Arabidopsis thaliana: one gene and its partners. The protein of the gene in region 2 interacts with the protein of the main gene of each other region in a pairwise test. Each region holds a gene or a part of one and is shown on either strand. Other genes may lie near its edges. The genes, in order: AT2G32020, MYB63 and ERF14.

Region 1 (6,568 bases), on a different chromosome or scaffold from region 2:
ATAAGATATTGTCTCTGCATCATCATCAGCAATAATATTAATGATGGAAGATTTCTTGACACCAAGATTTGTTGTGTGATCTTTTTTTTCTGAAATCTCATAAAGAGTTATAATTGTATATGATTCTTCATCATATTAATATCACTTATGGTATATAATTTGTTTCGGCTTTTGTCAGGTCAATTAAAGTTTTTTTTGTTCGAATGTTGAAGCCTTGAGGAGTGGATGATGGAGACATTTCATTGCTCCTTTTAACACAAAGGAAACAAATAACAGGTTGGTCCAACTTCTCTTCCTATGTCTGTTTCCGGTTCGGTTTCGATTGATTTTAACGGTTGAATTTCCGGTTTACAGGTGTATAAAGGATTGTAATTTTGTCTTGGTTAATAGAATTTCGCATATCAAACCGGTTCTTTCATTTATCATGTCAGGAGTAGGAGTTAAAAGTAAATTTTACAGTGTAGGTAATAATTAATTTGTAATCACAATTTAATTCAGTTTGATTCTACTCATAAGGTAACAACAGTTTAATAAAACTTGTTTTTGTGCAGGATTATTAAACTGACAGATGGAAGGTTTTTTTTAGTTCTTCATCAGTCTTTTTAGGGATAGTTTTTGATAATATTATTATTGTAAATTGAAGTGTGTTCCCGAGACAATGATAGTGTAATGCTTGTTGTATAAGTAAGATTTAGCCGTTTAATAAGTGTAACAAAAATACTATACAGCAAAAGCAATTATTTCATTCATTATGATAGTTTTCTTACAAAGGAAAAGTGAAAAGAATAAAAAGATAACGTCTTGTGATGATCTTTGTACTGAAAAAGTTAGGGCTTCTTGATAACCTCGAAGCTCACTCATTCTCTGATTCTATGTATTGGAATACAGAAATTCAATGATTAGTTTTATTTTTTCTGCAATCTCATAAAGAGTTATAATTGTAAGCAATTAGTCAAAATATCAACATTCAAATACCTTTGCATTATTTTTTGTAGCACTGCGTGCAAAAGGTTTAATAATTTTCAATCATTAGTTTGAGTATATAAGCTGTAATTTAATCAGATGAAATTTGTATATTATGTTTTGAAATATTAAAGGTAAGAGAGAGAATAGTGTAAAGATGTGAATGTAGAATGAAATGATTGAAAAAGAGTATGAAAGTGCAGAGAGTGTATTGTGTAATCTCATGCTTTTCTCTTTTTCCTATTTGCTCATGCTTTCTCTTGTTTCAGCTTTCGTGATTACAACAACACTTCTAAATTCCCTTTTTTTTTGGGTTATTTATTTTAAACCCAAATTAAAAATAAAATAAAAACATTCTTGTACAATGTGAAGTGAGACAATGATCAGCTCTATTTTTTTTTTCATGAAAACCCCTATTTTTACCTAACATTAACAAATAAATAAAAATGGAATGGAATATGTGGTCCAGAACAAGAAGTGTATATCGAAATGATTTACTTAAATACCTTTAACTATTACTCCAATCCTATTAAAATTAAAGTCCATCAGCTATGATTTACAGGAGTGGACATTCTGATATTTTATCTAATTCGATAAATGTTGCGGTTCATTCCAAATTTGTACCTATTTAAAGGTAAAATATCTATATAGTCTTATCGAATTTTGGAGCTAAGATTATTTTTAATTCCTAAAAACATATGTTTAGTGAGCTAGTTAGTAAATGAATCTAATTTTTTTGTTGGTTAACAGAAAATATCACATACTTACATAGTGATTTCAAATACTAATAAATTGTTTCATACTATATGCGTATATCCTATATGGACTGACTGGTCAGACATATTGAACGGAGTGGAGTCTTTATTCACATAACCTAAAAATAACTTTTTTTGATATGCATGTGTATCTATAGGCCAAATATATTTTAGTTCTACCACAGAAGTTAAAATAAATTGTATTAGTAATATATTTAGTCCTTTGAAAGTGGGAAACGAAATTAGCCTCACACAAGCACAGTGATGATTGATTTCTTCTTCTTTTTTTTACCCAAAAAAATCCATTTTTTCTTGTAATTTCTTATTTCCAGATTATTTTCTTCATAACAAAAAAAAAAGAAAAGAAATTGCTCACTTCACTTCTCACTAGATTCTTTATAACGAAACCTCCACTACACGGGCCCTAAATTTGGGCCACATGGGCTTCTCTCTTAACGAATTACGCACGAGTAAACTTCATTTTTCCAACAAGAAGAAGAAACTCAGGGGAATCTAAAGATTGTTTACTTTAATTTAAGAAATATGGAGAAATCATAATAAATTAATTACGTACTACTTATAGTAAATTTGTTGAATTACATAAATTCATAATTCAAATTTTACAAATACTTTTAATATCCTGTGTTATTTTAACAAAGCTGGTCTGGCTCTTAAGTTCTCATCCCAAGGACCATGGGATGTTTTGCTTTTTTTTTCTTTTGCTTGTTGGATGAGTATGTGAACCTTTTTATGGATACAGGACGAATCCCATTGTTTTATTTACATTCTACATTATTCGTTTATACGCTTCTATTAACCTTTGATTTTTAAAACTCTTCTCTACCTATCAATTTGTAATCGGATGATCCCTCTAACCTCACTTCTGTCTCATGCACTGACTTTAATTGTTTCGTAATTTACAATGTAGGATTTATAGATTTTTTTGGCAAATGAAAAACAGAGTGTTTACATCATGTATTACGTATATGAATCATACACTAAATCCAACATATATATGTAGAATTGCTAATTAATCTTTTTGTTGATTAATTACTTCAAAGTATCAGTAGACAAGAAACTAAACATAACAGTGTCTCTTACACTTCCCTTGATACATATAAACTTCCTCATCACACCTTCTCTAGTAAACCCAACTTTTTCAAGAACCCTTTGAGATCCAACATTGTCCACATCAACAAGTGCCTCAAGCCTTTCAATCTCTGGAAATTCCTCGAATACCTCCGCGGTCACTAGCCTCACTGCTTCCGTGGCAAACCCTTTTCCCCAATACTTTCTCGCTAGGACATAACCAATCTCTTTTCTGATGTTATCAACCGCCATGATCAAGATGTAGCCGATTGGACGGTCGTCTTCTAAGCAGATGGCTCGGAGCCAAGGGTGTGTCAGGACACGATCGGTTATGTATTTGATAGCTTCGTCTCGGCTCGTGCAAGGCTCCCAAGTGCAAAATCGAGCCACTTTAGGATCTGTGGCCCAAACCATGTAGTCATCGACGTCGGAAAGAGTCATCGGCCGGAGAGATATTCTTCCCGGAGGCGAAGAGCTCATTATTGGATTAGTTTCTTCTGAGTCCATCTCCATTTAGGATTAGTGATTGTTTTAGATATCATATCACTACGTCTAAGCGATGTCTTTATACACATCGCGATCTTGAAAAACTTTGAGATTCTCCCTTATTGCTTTTGACTAAAAAAACACTAAATATTACCATTTGCTATAGATAAGTGTATTTAGTGTTAAATATACGACATAAGATGAGGTGTCATCGTGTGAGTGGATAATTGTCTATATTTGACCTTGGACTTTCGACACTTACTTGGTTGCCAAACAAAGTATTGTTCTGGTTTCGGAACTTAATGTGTTGCTTCCAGTTGGATGCCCACAATGCCACGTGTCAAATCGTGTGTGGTCTGATTCCCAAAAAGGATTTAACTGTTTCTCAAGTTATTCTAAATGGATTAAATATTTTAATACTGTTAATATTTGTGGTGCAAATGATCGTAATCGTTTGTTATATACTGTCAAAATCAACTCAAGAATCAAGTCACTCAACATGTTGTATGATTAAGTAATTTAGCTAAAGATTAATTAATCGAATGTTATCAGAATTCCATTCATCTATCGCTGTAAAACTAGCTATCACACTATCTTTTTATTGTATAAAATATTTCATGTTTAGATTCAAAAAGAAAATATATATATATATATCATGTTTCATTTTGTACTTTTAATTTTCAATATAAACTTACATTTTTTCTGAGATAGTGAAGCTTTGTTTTATTTGGTGAAGTGAACATGGTAAATAGTAAATACATTACTCTCAAATTATAAAAAATAACTTTTGTATGAAATAGTTAATATATAAGGTTACAACTAACAATTACATAAGAAGAAGAAAGATAGAGCATCACATCAAATTATACATGTGATTTTTACAAACTAAGCAAAATATAAATTTCGACATCAAACAAACTTAATATATATATTTGATATTTGTTAATTCAAATCAGATCAGTGCAACGAATCAGAAGGCAAGAAACTAAACATGACCATATCTCTAACATTTCCTTTAAGATACATAAATTTCCTCATCACACCTTCTTTCACAAACCCAACTTTTTCAAGAACCTTTTGAGATCCAACATTGTCAACGTCAACAAGTGCCTCAAGCCTCTGCATCTCTGGCTTCTCCTTGAATATCTCCCCCGCCACAAGCCTCACCGCTTCAGTGGCGATCCCTTTCCCCCAATACTTGCTTCCGAGGACATAACCAATCTCTCCTCTGATCTCATCGACTGGCGTTACGGAGATCGAGCCAATCGGACGGTCGTTATCTAAGCATATAGCTCTAAGCCAAGGGTGTGGCAAAAGAGCGTCGTTTAAGTACGCGATCGCGGCTTCTCGGCTAGTGTAAGGCTCCCACGTGCAAAAGCGTGTGACGTTTGAGTCAGTGGCCCAAACCATGAAATCGTCGACGTCGGAAAGAGTCATTGGCCGGAGATGGATTTTCTCCGGAGGTGAGGAACTCACGGTGGATAGGGTCTCCGGTTTGATCGTAGTAGTTGAGTCCATCTCCATTGACTTTTTCTTGGTTACTTTCCTTTTTGAGTCTTTGAAGCTTCTTTGGGATTCTTTAAAATAAATTATCTCTCTCAATTCTTACAGATTTGTGTAGAGGCATTATGATAATACTTCTTCTACAAATCACGATTTAAATACTGATTTTTTTTTAACAAAAAAGAAAATAAACAGAACGTTCCTTCTTGCTTCGATCGGTCAAATACGCAACAATTAGTTCTTGTTGAATGGAAGGTGTGAAAAAGACGGTTTATAATGGGTATGGGTGAACCGTATATTTACCATCCATTCATCGTTTTTGATTTAAAAGAGGTATATTCAATCTAGTATTTAAAGTGACTTTCGTAAATTTTACAAGTATATGTTATTTAATTATGGATTTTGAAAATTCTAATGAAATCTAGTGTTATTAAAATAATAATTTAAAAATCTACCTTTAAATTCACTGTTATTAAAAATAATTTATGGATTTGATTTTTATAAGAATGTATTCAATCTAATATTTTAAGTGATTTGTGTAAAATTTATAAATTCTATGTTGTTCGATTATGGATTTGAAAAACTTTAATGAAATCTAGTATTATTGAACTAAAGATTTAAAATTCTATCTTAAAATCTATTGTTATTGAAAATAATTGGTAGATTTGATTCTTATTAATTTTGAAGGATTTGAGAAAGTTCTTTAGTTAAAAATAACAAAATCGAAATTCATGGTCTTATATAGAATTTTAAAATATTTTATAATAAATCACATCAATTTTCCTAAAATCATCAAACTCATATAAAAACTAGCTAAAACTCAAATTGTAAGGTCCAAATTAATGAGTCAACTCAACTCAACTCAACTCAATCCATGAACCCTAATGAGTTGAAAATTTTGACTCAAATGAGTTGATGAGTCAAATGAGTTGATGAGTCAATTGGTTTGATGAGTAAAATGAGTTGGGTTGTAATGGTTAATGGTTTCAATGGTTTATCCAATTAACCCATCAAATTTTGTAAAATTGAATTAAACCAACTAAAATCTCTAAACCAATGCCAATTTAAGTCTAACCAACACATCTAAACCAATTTAATAAAATTAATATTTTTCCAAATTTCTTAAATATACAAGCGATGAAATTGAGAAAAAGTAAACCCGTAATTTTTCCGCCAAAAACGTAAATCCGTGATTTTCCCGCCAAAAACGTAAATCCATGATTTTCCCGCCAAAAACGTAAACCCGAGATTTTCCCGCCAAAAACGTAAACCCGTAAAAAGTGGAATCCGTAAATATATTAAGTTTTGATGATAATGAATTAATAATGATAATTATTTATTATTATTTTATAATAATAATTAATTAAATTATTACTTAAATGGGTTAACCCATTTAACAACTCAACCCATTAAATTAAATGAGTTATGGGTTGACTTAACCCATTTAACAAAATGAGTTGGATCAACCCATAACTCATTTAACCCTAAACTCATTTGATTATGAGTTGAGTTGAGTTGTGTTACCCATTTTGACACACTTAGATCTAATACACCTCTTTATTAATTTTAAAGGATTTGAGAAAATTTAAAAAGATTTATTTAGTTACATATATAAAAATTCAAATCTCATATTTTTACTGGAATTTGATTTTTTTTTTTTACAATAAATCACATAAAAAGACATTAAAACTCAAAATTATTTAAAATATAAGGTTCAATACATATTTTGTCAATAAAAATTTAATAAGCTGCTAATATAGTTCATGAGAAAA
Region 2 (6,913 bases):
ATGGTGACGACAACAATCGCGGTGTTAGTGGCGATGGTGACGATAATGGCGGTGCCGGTGACGAAAAGATAATTACAAATATATATTGATATAAGAAAACTAAACCCTAAGATACTATACATAGAACCCAAACAAAAATCATTAAACGAAATGAAATCATCTCAACTTTCAATTTTCAAAAATCTAACAGCAAAATAAAATAGTACAATGGTGATGATGGCTCCGGTGACGATTTTCCGGCGATGTGGCTCCGGATACGATTTTTCGGCGACAATGGTTTTAAAGGTAGTGGTGGTTGTGGTGGTAGTGGAAGAAAAGAAGAAAGAAAAGAGAAAATGTTCACACATAAGAAAGAAGAAGAGGGTATAATTGTATTTATTACATATAATATACACAATATCACCTTATAGTTTTTGAAGTGTTAGTTTCCAAATTATTAAATGTTTTTAGGTTATACTTGCAAATTTCCCAAGATTTTAAATCTATGGTTTCTCGATGTTTTATTTTTGAGGATACATATTCTTAACAAGACGGCTGGCCCTAAATGTGTAACTGTGAAATTAATTTTGGTATATTTATTTATATGGCAGTGAGACTGGTCTTGGGGTTTCAATGCATTTAAATGGAATATTGGTGTGGTTATTAAATTCAAAATTAAATGATATATTAAAATTTTAAATGCATATAATAAACCTTAAATTCCCAGGCCATTACTCATTCTGCAGTCGATTTTCTGTTTTATTTTTCAAAATTTTAGTTGATGTGAAGAATTTAATGCATGTTTTATCAAAAATGTATGATAAATATATTTGTGGACATCCGAGTTTTACACAAAAACGTCAAATTTGAATATCCAAAATAGATGATCGGATATAATGTTAAAATACGATACCAATATCAAGTATTTATTTTTGGTTAGCAAAAAAAAAGATCAAGTATTTTCAGTTATTAGTTCATTCTAATTTTAAAAGTTAAAACTAACGTTTTCAATTAGACAGGCCCGTTTCTACCAAAATTAAAAGAATTAAAAAATAGACAGGCCCGTTTATAGTATTTTTAGCCCAGTATCTACGAAATCCGGCCCAACTACATCTTCCCGCATGTTATCGTCCCTTTTAAACTGGTGCATGAGATGTTTATGTACTCCATTTTCGAAAATAAACAACTCTAATATGGAGAGAAATGAGAGGTCTTTATTAAATATCACGTTAACGAGTTGTGTCATGTAATAATTACTGACGGTTACTATATCGAATAATTACCTAATTATCGGGTAATAAATTAAATACCAAAATATTAACCATTATATGGTCCATATACAGTGATCTAGTAGTTGAATAATTGCTTACGTTCAAATCTTAATTATGGTTGACCGTATATAATAATATTTTATATGGTATTCGCATGCTTTGGAGATTAATATAAAGATATTCTGATTACTAAAAAAAAAAACCTAAAATATTAACCAACACATTTCTGTTGAAATAGATCCCATAACAAATACATGTGCGTCATGCATGCGTAATCATTGATTTTATCTGCTTACCTTTTGAGTTTTTTGGGTCATGAATCTCATGATTTATCTATGTTTGAATATTATGGCGTTATTTTATTTAATTTGGAAATGTTAGCACTGTGCTTGGACCTAATGAGTGTGATTAGTTAGGTGATCAGGAAAAAAGTAACCATCACTGTTAAGCAAATGTCCTACCAACCCAACCCAAGGATGGATAATATTGTTTGAGATCTCTATTTTTTTCAAGATTAGGTGTCTTATTTGGTCTCTTGGAAAAATCTTGTTTAGGTGATTATCAGATCATTTTAATTATGATTTAATTGTATTTCCCTTTTAAAACTTACTTACAAAAATCAAAATTACTTGTTTTCGTTAGTATATCTAGTCATGAATTCTAAACTTCTAGCATTTTTGAAAGATTGGACTCTTTTATGGGTAAATCTTTGGCGCATGAGTTGTTTTCTAAATCGAGAATTTGTTTTTATTAGATAAGGTGTTATATCTCCTAAACAATAATACAATAACAAACGCAAAAAGCGAAGCATATTTATGTATATATAGTCTTATATAAATAGTTGATATATATTAATATGTGTCCCTATTATGATCACACAAAACATACACATGCAGAGCTTTATTCCAATAGCTAAAATCTGAACTTTAAAGTCAGTACACTCGAAATTGATATTGACGTATGTATTACTAATAGCAACATGTGTTCTTTCATCATAAGTTTACATAATTTTTTAATTTTATTCTACTTAATTAATGTCACAGTTTCCATCGTTTTGATAAGGTCCATACTCCATAGGGACGTTGAAAATTTAATTTAATTTTTTCCACTCATAGTTGTCCTTTTTTTCTTAGTAAAGTTTGGGAAAGTTTTCCCACTCATACTTGTTTGTTCACCAACCTTCTGATTACCAAGAGTCGTATAAAAATGCAAAACTAATAGATCGTCATTTATATATGTTGCTCCTATAGACTTTTATCGACAAAATTTTCCGAATTAATCATTTTGTAACTTCAATACATATACGTCCAGATATTTACCCTAGTGAAAAATATTTCTTCTTTTTCAAACCTCTTTTCCTCTCTATTCCTCCTAAGAGCTTGTTAACGTAACAAAATTGTTGGGTTTATTAACTTCAATTATTGTCGATACTTAGTACTTTAAAATATTTGGAGTAATAGATGTAGTGATGGCTGTGTCGTAATTGCTTGAATAATTTTGGATGGGTACAGAGGAATTAATTAAGTAATGAAGGTTTGGTGGAATTAAGTAATTAACGTAGCCAAGAGCCAACAACAACACCAAACCCACCAAACATTAAAAAAGTCAAAAAGACGTAAGTCTTTGACCTCTTCCACTCTCTTTGGTCTTTAGTTTGGTGAGTTCGTGCACTATGCTCACACACACTCCTTACGCCTTTTGGTGTTTTCGGATGTGATTAGAAATGACTTTTTAACAGTTTTTTTTTTTTTCTGTCTCTCATTTTAATGTTATATTTAAGGATTATATATATTTCTGCTTTTTTGTATACAAAATATGAAAATATTCCATGGAGTGACGTATGGAGTGACTGCGTACTTAGTAAAACAGCATTATTAGTGAGAGTTCATTTTTCTCGTGTTACACTGTATCTACATGATGATCACGGGACTATCTATTATTCAAAAGTTGGTAATTATACACTGAGCCTGATTACAGAAGACTCGCAGACAAAAACTAATATAATCAATTCCTCCTATGTATACCTTAAGCTAATTCTTAATTAACAAGTTGCAGATTTACAATCTTATTTTAGTCAAAACACTACCTAATATTTTGCCACTTTATAACTATATATTCTTACTCCTCCAAAGTATTTTTATTAAGAAATACATAAAACTCTTATCATTACCGCTGTAAATTCCTAAGACCATTTCAATTAACACTCGTCGACATGTAGTAGTTTCTTACATTAGCGAAATTTATTTCAGACAATTTTATAAGATATGTCAAATCTGATAATATTTTTAACACGAGATGCTAGTTTCCATTATTACTTGATGTCAAAAAAGAAGAAAATATTATTTAAGGATTTTGGTTTCTAAAAACGAATGTGAAATATTCATGCATCGGTGTTAGAAGGAAAGATAAGTTGCATGCATCATAAGGATGCCAAATGAAGTAAAAATGAGAAAATGGAATCATACCAAATAATCAACCATACCACAGACAGACAACCTTTTCCCACTCAACAAATCTGATTTGACATTTATCAATTCCTCTGTTTACATATTCATCTTTTCTCATGTCAAGATCACACACTCTTACCTCTCATATATATAAAACAGAACCAAATTATCTTTGGTAAAAGTGAATCTCATCAGGAACTGAGTGATATAAAGTTATATATATAGAGGAGAGAGGGAGTGAGAGGGAGTGAGAGAGAGAGAATGGGGAAGGGAAGAGCACCTTGTTGTGACAAGACCAAAGTGAAGAGAGGTCCATGGAGCCCAGAAGAAGACATTAAACTCATCTCTTTCATTCAAAAGTTTGGTCATGAGAACTGGAGATCTCTCCCCAAACAATCTGGTATGTCATTGCTTTTGTCATCACAATCAAAGCAAAAGCCTCTTCAATTGTTTTTTCTTTTCTTTATGATTCTGAATGTATATATATGCAAAAATGAAGGGCTATTGAGGTGTGGGAAGAGTTGTCGTCTAAGGTGGATTAACTATCTTAGGCCAGATCTGAAGCGTGGCAACTTCACTTCAGAGGAGGAAGAAACAATCATTAAGCTTCACCACAACTATGGGAACAAGTAAATCATCAGCTAGGATTATTATTGTGCTCATACATATATGGTGGATCAAAAAAGTGATTTGATATTGACATTAAGCTTTCTGCATTTTGATCAGGTGGTCGAAAATCGCTTCTCAACTTCCAGGTAGAACAGATAACGAGATCAAGAATGTGTGGCACACTCATCTAAAGAAAAGACTGGCTCAGAGCTCAGGAACTGCAGATGAACCGGCCTCGCCTTGTTCGAGTGATTCTGTTTCTCGTGGGAAAGATGATAAGTCATCTCACGTAGAAGATTCTTTGAACAGAGAGACTAATCATAGGAATGAGTTGTCTACATCTATGTCTTCTGGGGGTTCCAACCAACAAGATGATCCAAAGATAGACGAACTCAGGTTTGAGTATATAGAAGAAGCTTATAGCGAGTTTAACGACATTATTATTCAAGAGGTAGACAAACCCGATCTGCTGGAGATACCATTTGATTCAGATCCTGACATTTGGAGTTTCTTAGATACTTCAAACTCATTTCAACAATCCACTGCAAATGAGAACAGCTCAGGCTCAAGAGCAACAACAGAAGAAGAGTCTGATGAGGATGAGGTTAAGAAATGGTTCAAGCACCTAGAAAGCGAACTCGGGTTAGAAGAAGACGATAATCAACAACAATACAAAGAAGAAGAATCATCATCATCATCACTCTTGAAGAACTACGAGCTCATGATACATTGATAAAAGATATTTATTTTGGATATCAATATGACAATATGTATGATGGAAAGGTAGAGAGATAGTAGAGAAAATGTATTTCCTATAGTTTTTTAATTGGCATTATTTTTAGTAGCCTGTAGATAAAACAGAGCTGGTCAAAAGATGCACACTATACTAAAAGTCTAAAACTATATATCTGGAAGATTCTTTCTTTAGTCTTAGAGAATCTTGAAGAAAATTATTGAAGAATATTTGGTAGGATTAGTTTAGTAATCTCAATCATCTAACAACCATCTTGAAACTGGAAACGACAAAACATGAAGACCAGTTACTCTTGTTTGGAGATATATTAACCTCAACAGCTATTTTTTTTGCTGAAGAAGAAGTAACAATAACTATGAACTTATCAACGAATTAAGGCAAGCAACTGAATTAGAAGAAGCTAATCTCAACAATGTTGCATCTCCGAATGTTTTCTTGAATTTCATTGGAGATAGACAAAAAGTTGGAAGCTTAATATAGATAGATCTCAGTTTTGTCTTCCATGGCTTCTGATAAATCTTAGTTTTCTTGAAATTGAAGAAATATTATATGATCTTGATAAGAATATATAGGTAACTTGAAGAAGAAATTAACTTCTACTTTCAACTTCTTTATCACTGGTTCAAGTGAAGGAAAATTGAGTCAAATTGGGTTGGGATACCCATTTTAACACTCCGGTTTATAGTTTGAAAGTTTAAACCGATTGGTTTAATTTGATTCGAAAGAATCTGGTTCTTATAACTATTAAATATAATGTCGGTTCATTTGTACGATACTTTACAAAATATGAGGTTTCGTTTGCAATTCTATATAGATTATCAGGTTTATTTTGCATTTATTCCTAAAACCCTAAAGGGGAAATCTTCCCGGTCTTTATTCGAGACGACGACGACCTATAAAGGCCAATAGCAATGGATCGGGTCAATTAATCTCGGGTCGGGTCATTTCTTTTTCAATTTCGCGGTTCTATCTCTCTCTGTTTGCTGACTCGAGATTTTCGAGTTTGGTGGGATAATTGATCGGATTCAATGGACAAGTCCGTCGTAATACGCCGTGAAACCAATGGAGACGACGTTGAGGGAGACCCGGAAAGAGAAGCTGTCTTCGCACAACTGAAAGTTCTCTGCTTGGAGCTTCTAAACCTTTCGCAAAACCCTGAAAAGGATCCAACCACGATCCCTGCTTTGCTCCTTCTCCTCCGCCGTACTCCTCCGTCCTCTCTCCAGTCCTTCTTCCAGTAATTATTCCACTTTTCTCGTTTCTCTTTATCTTTTTACTTCTTTCTGCTGAAAAAACGGTAATCTGCACATGAGTAGCAGTTTCAATTATAAGGTTTAAAAGAGTTCATTTGTGGTGTATTGTCGACTGTTTACTTAGTGAGAACTGTTTTGGTTTATGTACGTTTCAGCTACACTTTGTTCCCATTGCTTCTTCTGTTAGACGCCGCAGTTGCTTGCAGAAGTCAGGGGCAAAACAAGCCAGAGGAATTTCCACAAACACCATATAGAGTGAGTGATAAAGTAGCAGAAGGTGTAATCTCTTGTCTCGAAGAACTTCTAAAAAAATGTCACATTGGATCCATAGATCAGGTGAGCTGGTTTTGAACTCTCACAATCGTTTTTATGATTGTTTTCTACCTTTACTCGATTTGGGTAACATATTCTCAGCTTAGTTATGGAACTGTGTTGAATTTTTTCCCCGTACAGATGGTTGTAATTATGAAGAAGTTAACTAGTGGTGCTGTTTTATCACCATCTGAGGCTTCTGAAGAGTTTCGTGAAGGGATAGTCAAATGTTTCCGAGCAATGATCTCTGGTCTGCTTCCATGCTCTGATGATTCTTGCTCTTGTAAG
Region 3 (6,437 bases), about 29 Mb from region 2:
CGGTGGGCCCAGAAGCTACGACACCATTGAAGCAATCAAAGAAAAGATTGGTGGGGACGAAAAGGGTTTCTGTGTTATAAGCCGAGCCCGCATTATTTTAAGTTAAAAGTTAGTGCAACTGAACCAAATTTATTTATTCATGTTTGTATGTAAACTATGTTTTTTTTTACTATATTTTTATTAAATTGTATTTTATCATTTTAATTTTAATTAAAAACTTCTATATAATTTTCCAACTAAAATGTTTTTTTTTGTTATATTAATATTTTTATCTTGGGACGGAAAACAAAAATTAATGCCTTTAAAGTATATGGTTCTAGCTTCTATGGTGATCCTGATTCCTGATAGAAGCATGGAATTAACGCCGAAGTCTCTCATCTCATCTTCATGGCCGTGTGGTGTGGGTGATTTTCTTTCTCCACGTATTTATATTTTGTCTTTAAAAACTCATCTATCAACTCAATGAATTATTGTCCCCACAAGTTACTAAACTCATCAGTTGCTTATAAAAACTATTTTCAAAATGTACATGTATATATGCGTCTACATATGCCTTTCCAGTATAATTCATGAATGGAAGAGCAATAACAAGCAATGGTAAGATGAATTCCATATTTCAAACGTATAACACAATGTACTTGTACATGCTGGTAGTTATATTAATTAGAGCGATGTAATAGGTTATATTGATATCTTATAAATTTACTTTGATTTATTTTAAAACGTTTAAGCTCGTTTAGATGAATCACAAGAAGGTAACAAATATATCAAATCATAATTACACGTCACAAAACATAAAAGAATATGTTTCACATAATCATTATTTTCATTAATATTTTCTCAAAACTAATTGCACAAGGAACCGTTTGAACTTTGAAGTTCAAGAAACTAAGATGACCCGCTTAAAGAATCTTATTCGTTACAGAAATCGATTGACAATTACACTTCATGCCAATAATTGAAACAGCTTTGTACGCTTGGGATTTTATTTTATTTGTTATAACTGAAAATGGTCTTTCACATAACTTTCAGTTAATACCGATTGTATTCCCTTTATTGCCTCTTGCCCATGTTGATATTATGAGTCTTGTTATAGTTCTCTCCATATTCAAGAAGTTCATCCAAAACGCTATCGTCCAAGTACTCAAACTCAAAAACTTGCTGCGACGAGGAAGAAGAATTAGCCGCAGTGGATGAGGATCCGGTTCCCATGTTATACTCGTGAGGGAAGTTGAGAATGGCAGCTTTGCCTCTCATTGAATAGGCGGCTCGGTCATAGGCTCGAGCCGCGTCTTCCGCAGTGTCGAATGTCCCTAGCCACACACGCTCTCCGTGCTTCCTCGAATCTCTTATTTCCGCGGCGTATTTACCCCAAGGTCGTCTCCTTACTCCACGGTACTTCCCTTGCTCGGCTCCTCCTCCTCCACTACCACTGCTACGACCTCCTTGATCCATATATCTGTGTATGTGTATATACTGTTGTGCGTCAGAAGAGAGACCAAGTGACAAAGAATAATAAGAAGAATTGGATGTTCTAAGAGTTGGAAACGGACACAAGATGTAGCGTCTGTTTTTTTTTTTTTGTCTTTGTGTGTGTTTTAATTTTGCATGGATTAAATGAGATTTGATTTGTGGAATTTATAGGCAAGGAAACAAGTGGGTCCATCAACCTAATATTCGAAGTTCGAAAAACTCCACTTATGAAAATTATGTAGATGTTCTTTAGACCTTTTTTCTCCTTCAACATAGATGTTTCTCATAAAATAAATTTTCTTTTTCTTTTTCTTTTTTCATTTTTTTATAATAGATTTTATTTTGAGAATTTTGTATTTTACATATATGTACAATTTTTTATGGCTATAATAATATACATGTATGGGGTTTCGGAAATGTACAACATTAATAATATGGTAAGAATCATGTGCAACAAAAATATAAAACAATTTTTTGTTATATCCTTGAAATTATTATATTTTGCGTTTATATTTTACATTATATCTAAATTATTAAATATTTATATCTAAATAGAGCTTATAAGGTTTAACTCAAGTTGAACTTTTGCAAAAAGTAGGAAATTTATGATAAAATTAGACAGTCTCTTGAACTAATTATTATAGAAAACTATATTTGTATGGTATTTTTTGGCAACAGCAATGGAATTTTATGTTACCAAAAATATGATGTGTACTGAATAAAAGAGTTGATTGGAGGACCCATAGGAATATGTTTGACTTGGGACTTCGTTAGTGCCCACGTGGGTTGACTCTCAAAACCGACTCAGAAGCTTTCGTTGGACCATAATAAATTTTTTGTTTAATACAGAATCTACGTGTGGGGGTCTAAGTTCTTGACATGACTTTACATTTTGGAGAATTTTTTCCTTCTAGATATATTTTCACATCAATTAATTTTTATTGAATAATTTGCAGTAGATTAGATCAATTAACTTTTCTTAACATCAAGTTTACGAACATACCACTAACGAAGAAGAACAAAAACGTTTACTAAGTACATTGAATCGGCCTTGAATTGTTTTCAAATTATGCATATATTCTACATAAAGCTGGAAATTCATTACTTATTCTACCTTAAAAGAAAATATAAGATTTTGTTTTTCAAAATGTCGTATAAAAAATTGAGCTAAATATTAATCGCTAAAATTTTTTATGACATTTGAACTACTTTCTCCATCTTTGCCAACGTACGGTACCTGAAATCTCTAGAAATTTGATCGAATCAAATGTTGGTTGCGTTTGTAACTTTGTATATGCATTGAACAAATAAAAGTTTTTATATTAGTAAGAAATGTTTGTAAGTTGTGAACGCAAATACAAAAGGTATTCGCAATTTGATTTTATGCTTTGGAAATCACGCTTCCCATGTACGATAATCTACATTTTTGTTTGTATTTAAAAGCATTAATAAGATATCATATTTTCATTAAATATAATCACACCATTTAGTCCTCTAAAATATACAAAACCAAAAAAAGTAGTCAGCTTAGAATCAAGTAATTTGTAATTGCCTTATACACACTACAGTATATAGTTGTTAACTGAAAAACAAGAATCAACAGCCTATAATACCTTACATACTCTAGAATCTGAATCTTTTAACTTAAATATACGACTTCGTTGAGCCAACAAATATAACTTTCTTTAGTTAGCTAGGTCCACAAAATTAATCGCTAAAGTTCCATAAATATAACAATAGATGTCACAGTCAATAAGAAACTTATACGGAAGGACTTCGTATAAGTGAACATTCCATAAATAGTATCTTTCACCCGTAAATCTCAGATATTTTACTGACACTATACTCTGTCGAAATTGACTTTTATAAACCTATTAGCCTAATCGTCACGTGGGCTTTTCTAATAAGTCATTAACGTTAAGTCAGTTGAAATAAGGATAACGACATGTCCAATGTACCTAGTTGATCATAAATTCATCATCATGGTCACAATGTACCTACTTCTTCAAGTTTTCTTTTTGTTACCTTTTTAAAAATATATATTTTAAAATACACTAATTGGCCCTTTTTGGCTGCTCCTAATATTGGATTCGATCTTATAGGTGTCCGTACATATTCGAAGTCTTTTTTTTTAGACTAGAAAACAAAGTTTTGGAGTTCCCTTTCCTTCTTTGTTCTTCTATCATATCTGAGTTCCTTTCCCTTTCAATCACATTAAAATAATGATTACGATTTTATTATGTCGTTTAAATCTGACTTGCCTTTGACTTTGAATCGGTCCACGACAAATATTTTTTTGGTAAGTTATGACAATTGTTGTAGTGCCTGTATATTTTTTTTAAAAATGCTTAAACTGTCGCATAAATGCGACCAAAAAATAAAATACTGTCGCATTAATGTTTTATTTTGGATAAACCGAGTCTATGAACAAACAAACCAAAACAACCGAAAACTGGGCGACAAAAAAACAACAACTGAAAACTGATTTTGTTGAAAATTCTCGGTAGACGGTAACAAATATCATCGAAAACCTACTGTACTTCAAAACTTCCTTGTTCCAAAAAACAAAAAACAAATCTAAGGATTCTTTTATATTTGAAAAAGAAATTTAAAATAGAGCCTGATTGAAAATAATTATTATTATTCAATTGTTCATTTTTTTTCTTATCTTCAATATACATTTCCGACGTCTTTCTTGAATTGAAAGGAGAGATGAATCTACGTTTATTCAACAATAAAAAGAATTAAATTTAAGAAGATTGGAATTAACGTCTATTCTATTGTAAATTAATAATCTCTGGGAAAAAGAAGATTGTGTGGTTTCGATTGATATAGAATCAGAATCTATATTGTTGTCGCCATTACGACTAGTGTAAGTAAGGGCTCTCGAGGTTGGGGACAACATATAGCTAGAACTAAAGTCTTTTTATGTCTTCGTGCATGAACCTACCAATTGAATAACATAGAATCTATAGTAAAAGGTTTATTTCAGAACAAGAACCCTAACATATAGATGAAGCTTTTAACTAAAGGTTATAGAATATCAAGGATTTATGGGTTAATCTATTTCTTTTACCAAAATCGATAATACGTTGACCAATTTTTTGGATAATCTTCGATCAATTACAGCGGAGTTCCAATGGAACAGAATTTATTAACTATATTTTTATAATTAGCACTATAAATAAGAAATTTATAGTTTAAGTACCTTTTAACTTTCATTCTTTTAATTTGAGAACAAAAATAACTTTAATGAACTCAAAGATATTCATACAATATTATGTATGGTTAATATTAATGCTACACATTATTATTTTCAAGATGACATACACTAGTTTCATTTTAAATATATTTTAAAATTGACACAGTTTATTTTCATTTTAATAGATTGACATAATCTTTGCACACTGAATATATGATGGCCCAGCCCAAGTTCACTCGTGACCCACATATGGTCCACGCAGCTGCCCAAAATGGGTCTAGAAAAACTAATGGAAGAATGGCGAAACATAATTGTTTTTTTTCCTGTCAACGAATGGAGAAAGAGAAAGTGAAACAAGTGAAAGCATTTTTTTTTACAGTTCTCTTTTCTGGTAAAGCATTTTTTTATCTTTTTTTTTTGTTGTCATCAGCATTTATTTATGGTTGTTCAAAAAAAATAAAAAAAATTATGGAAACAGAACAGACGATAGAACAAATTACATCACATTATTCAATTTTACACTAAAGAAATTAATTTTATTTTTGTAACATCTTGCTTTATTTTATTAAAATGAAAACAGAGATTACATAGTTATTTCTTAGACATACACATAAAACCAAAAATTGATTAAAATTTAAGAAATTAATTAACTAGATAATTTAAGTTAAAAAAATTGTTTTTTGTAAATTGTGTCTCATTAAATTATAGGATGTTTTGACTCGCACACATATCAATGGTTCAAAACGTTGACCCCAGATTGGTTTCTTTAAATGGTAAAGTAAAAGTCAACCTTTAGTTTGAGATAATAAAATTTAAAAGCCAATTAATTTTCTTTTGAAATTTATTTACAATTTCTTGTTATGAGATCTACATTATTATATACAGTAACACTCAGTTAGATATTAATCTCTTGTATTTAGCCAAACCAAAAACCATCGGATCAATGCATAAGTTTTGGAATTTCTAGTAATTTATTTCCAGTTAAGTATGTTTTTATAGTGTAGCGTAGGGCTAGAAGACGATCCTGATCAATGCAACTAATAGAATCTCGAACATCAAAACAAAACAAAGAAAATTATAGAGATCGAGTTCATATCTCGGAGCGACGTGTATCGATGATGGTCTGACGCACACACGTGACCGACCAAGCATCACGTGCTGCTGAATGCTGATCCATCTCACCGTTGCTGTGTTGACCTGAGTCGTCGACGTGGCGCATGATGATGATCCTCAGGACCTCATTCTTAAAAGAGTAGTCTATAGTCAAAGTCAATTGTTAATGCGGAAACAAAATTCTACTATATTAATGAGATGCCTAGATTTCTTTTTTCATATTAGTTTTGAATTGTACAAATAATTGGATTCTAGTAAAATCCTCCCAAAATTGAACCAAAAGCTTTCACAGCTGTTGTCAGTCCATGTGAAAACTACTGATGAGTTGTTTTTCACAAGTTTCATGAATCAACTGTTTTTAATGGTGATTTAAGAAAGTTTAAATTTAAGTAATACAATGTCACTAAGTTCTATATGAAATATTCTTCTGCTGCTCTGCCCTGGTTGTAGTATTTGTTTATTTGTAATTACTGCCGAAGCATCAATTGTGATTTTGTCGATTTTTAGGTTTAACTGATGCAACACTTCAACAAAAAAAAAAATTAAAAAAATTTGTAAACATGGATCTGAATCTAATTTTGTCGATTTGTGATTTCTCCCACTATATTTTTTTTTTCTTTTGACAATCGTGATTACGGATTTTCATCGG

The links.
Region 1: the proteins of MYB63 (region 2) and AT2G32020 interact in a two-hybrid assay, tested with the Arabidopsis thaliana proteins (one large-scale study listed by BioGRID).
Region 3: the proteins of MYB63 (region 2) and ERF14 interact in a two-hybrid assay, tested with the Arabidopsis thaliana proteins (one large-scale study listed by BioGRID).

Annotation. Positions count from the first base shown.
Region 1 is NC_003071.7:13,628,425-13,634,992, forward strand, and holds AT2G32020 (Acyl-CoA N-acyltransferases (NAT) superfamily protein), read right to left. Parts: upstream 3,506-6,568; 5' UTR 3,321-3,505; coding exon 2,769-3,320; 3' UTR 2,556-2,768; downstream 1-2,555. Other genes in the region: AT2G32030 (Acyl-CoA N-acyltransferases (NAT) superfamily protein), read right to left, coding at 4,251-4,817.
Region 2 is NC_003070.9:29,782,551-29,789,463, forward strand, and holds MYB63 (myb domain protein 63), read left to right. Parts: upstream 1-3,944; 5' UTR 3,945-3,958; coding exon 3,959-4,326; intron 4,327-4,423; coding exon 4,424-5,039; 3' UTR 5,040-5,252; downstream 5,253-6,913. Other genes in the region: AT1G79170 (uncharacterized protein), read left to right, coding at 1-72; AT1G79190 (ARM repeat superfamily protein), read left to right, coding at 6,089-6,297, 6,469-6,649, 6,767-6,913.
Region 3 is NC_003070.9:1,170,195-1,176,631, reverse strand, and holds ERF14 (Ethylene-responsive element binding factor 14), read right to left. Parts: upstream 1,600-6,437; 5' UTR 1,456-1,599; coding exon 1,054-1,455; 3' UTR 864-1,053; downstream 1-863.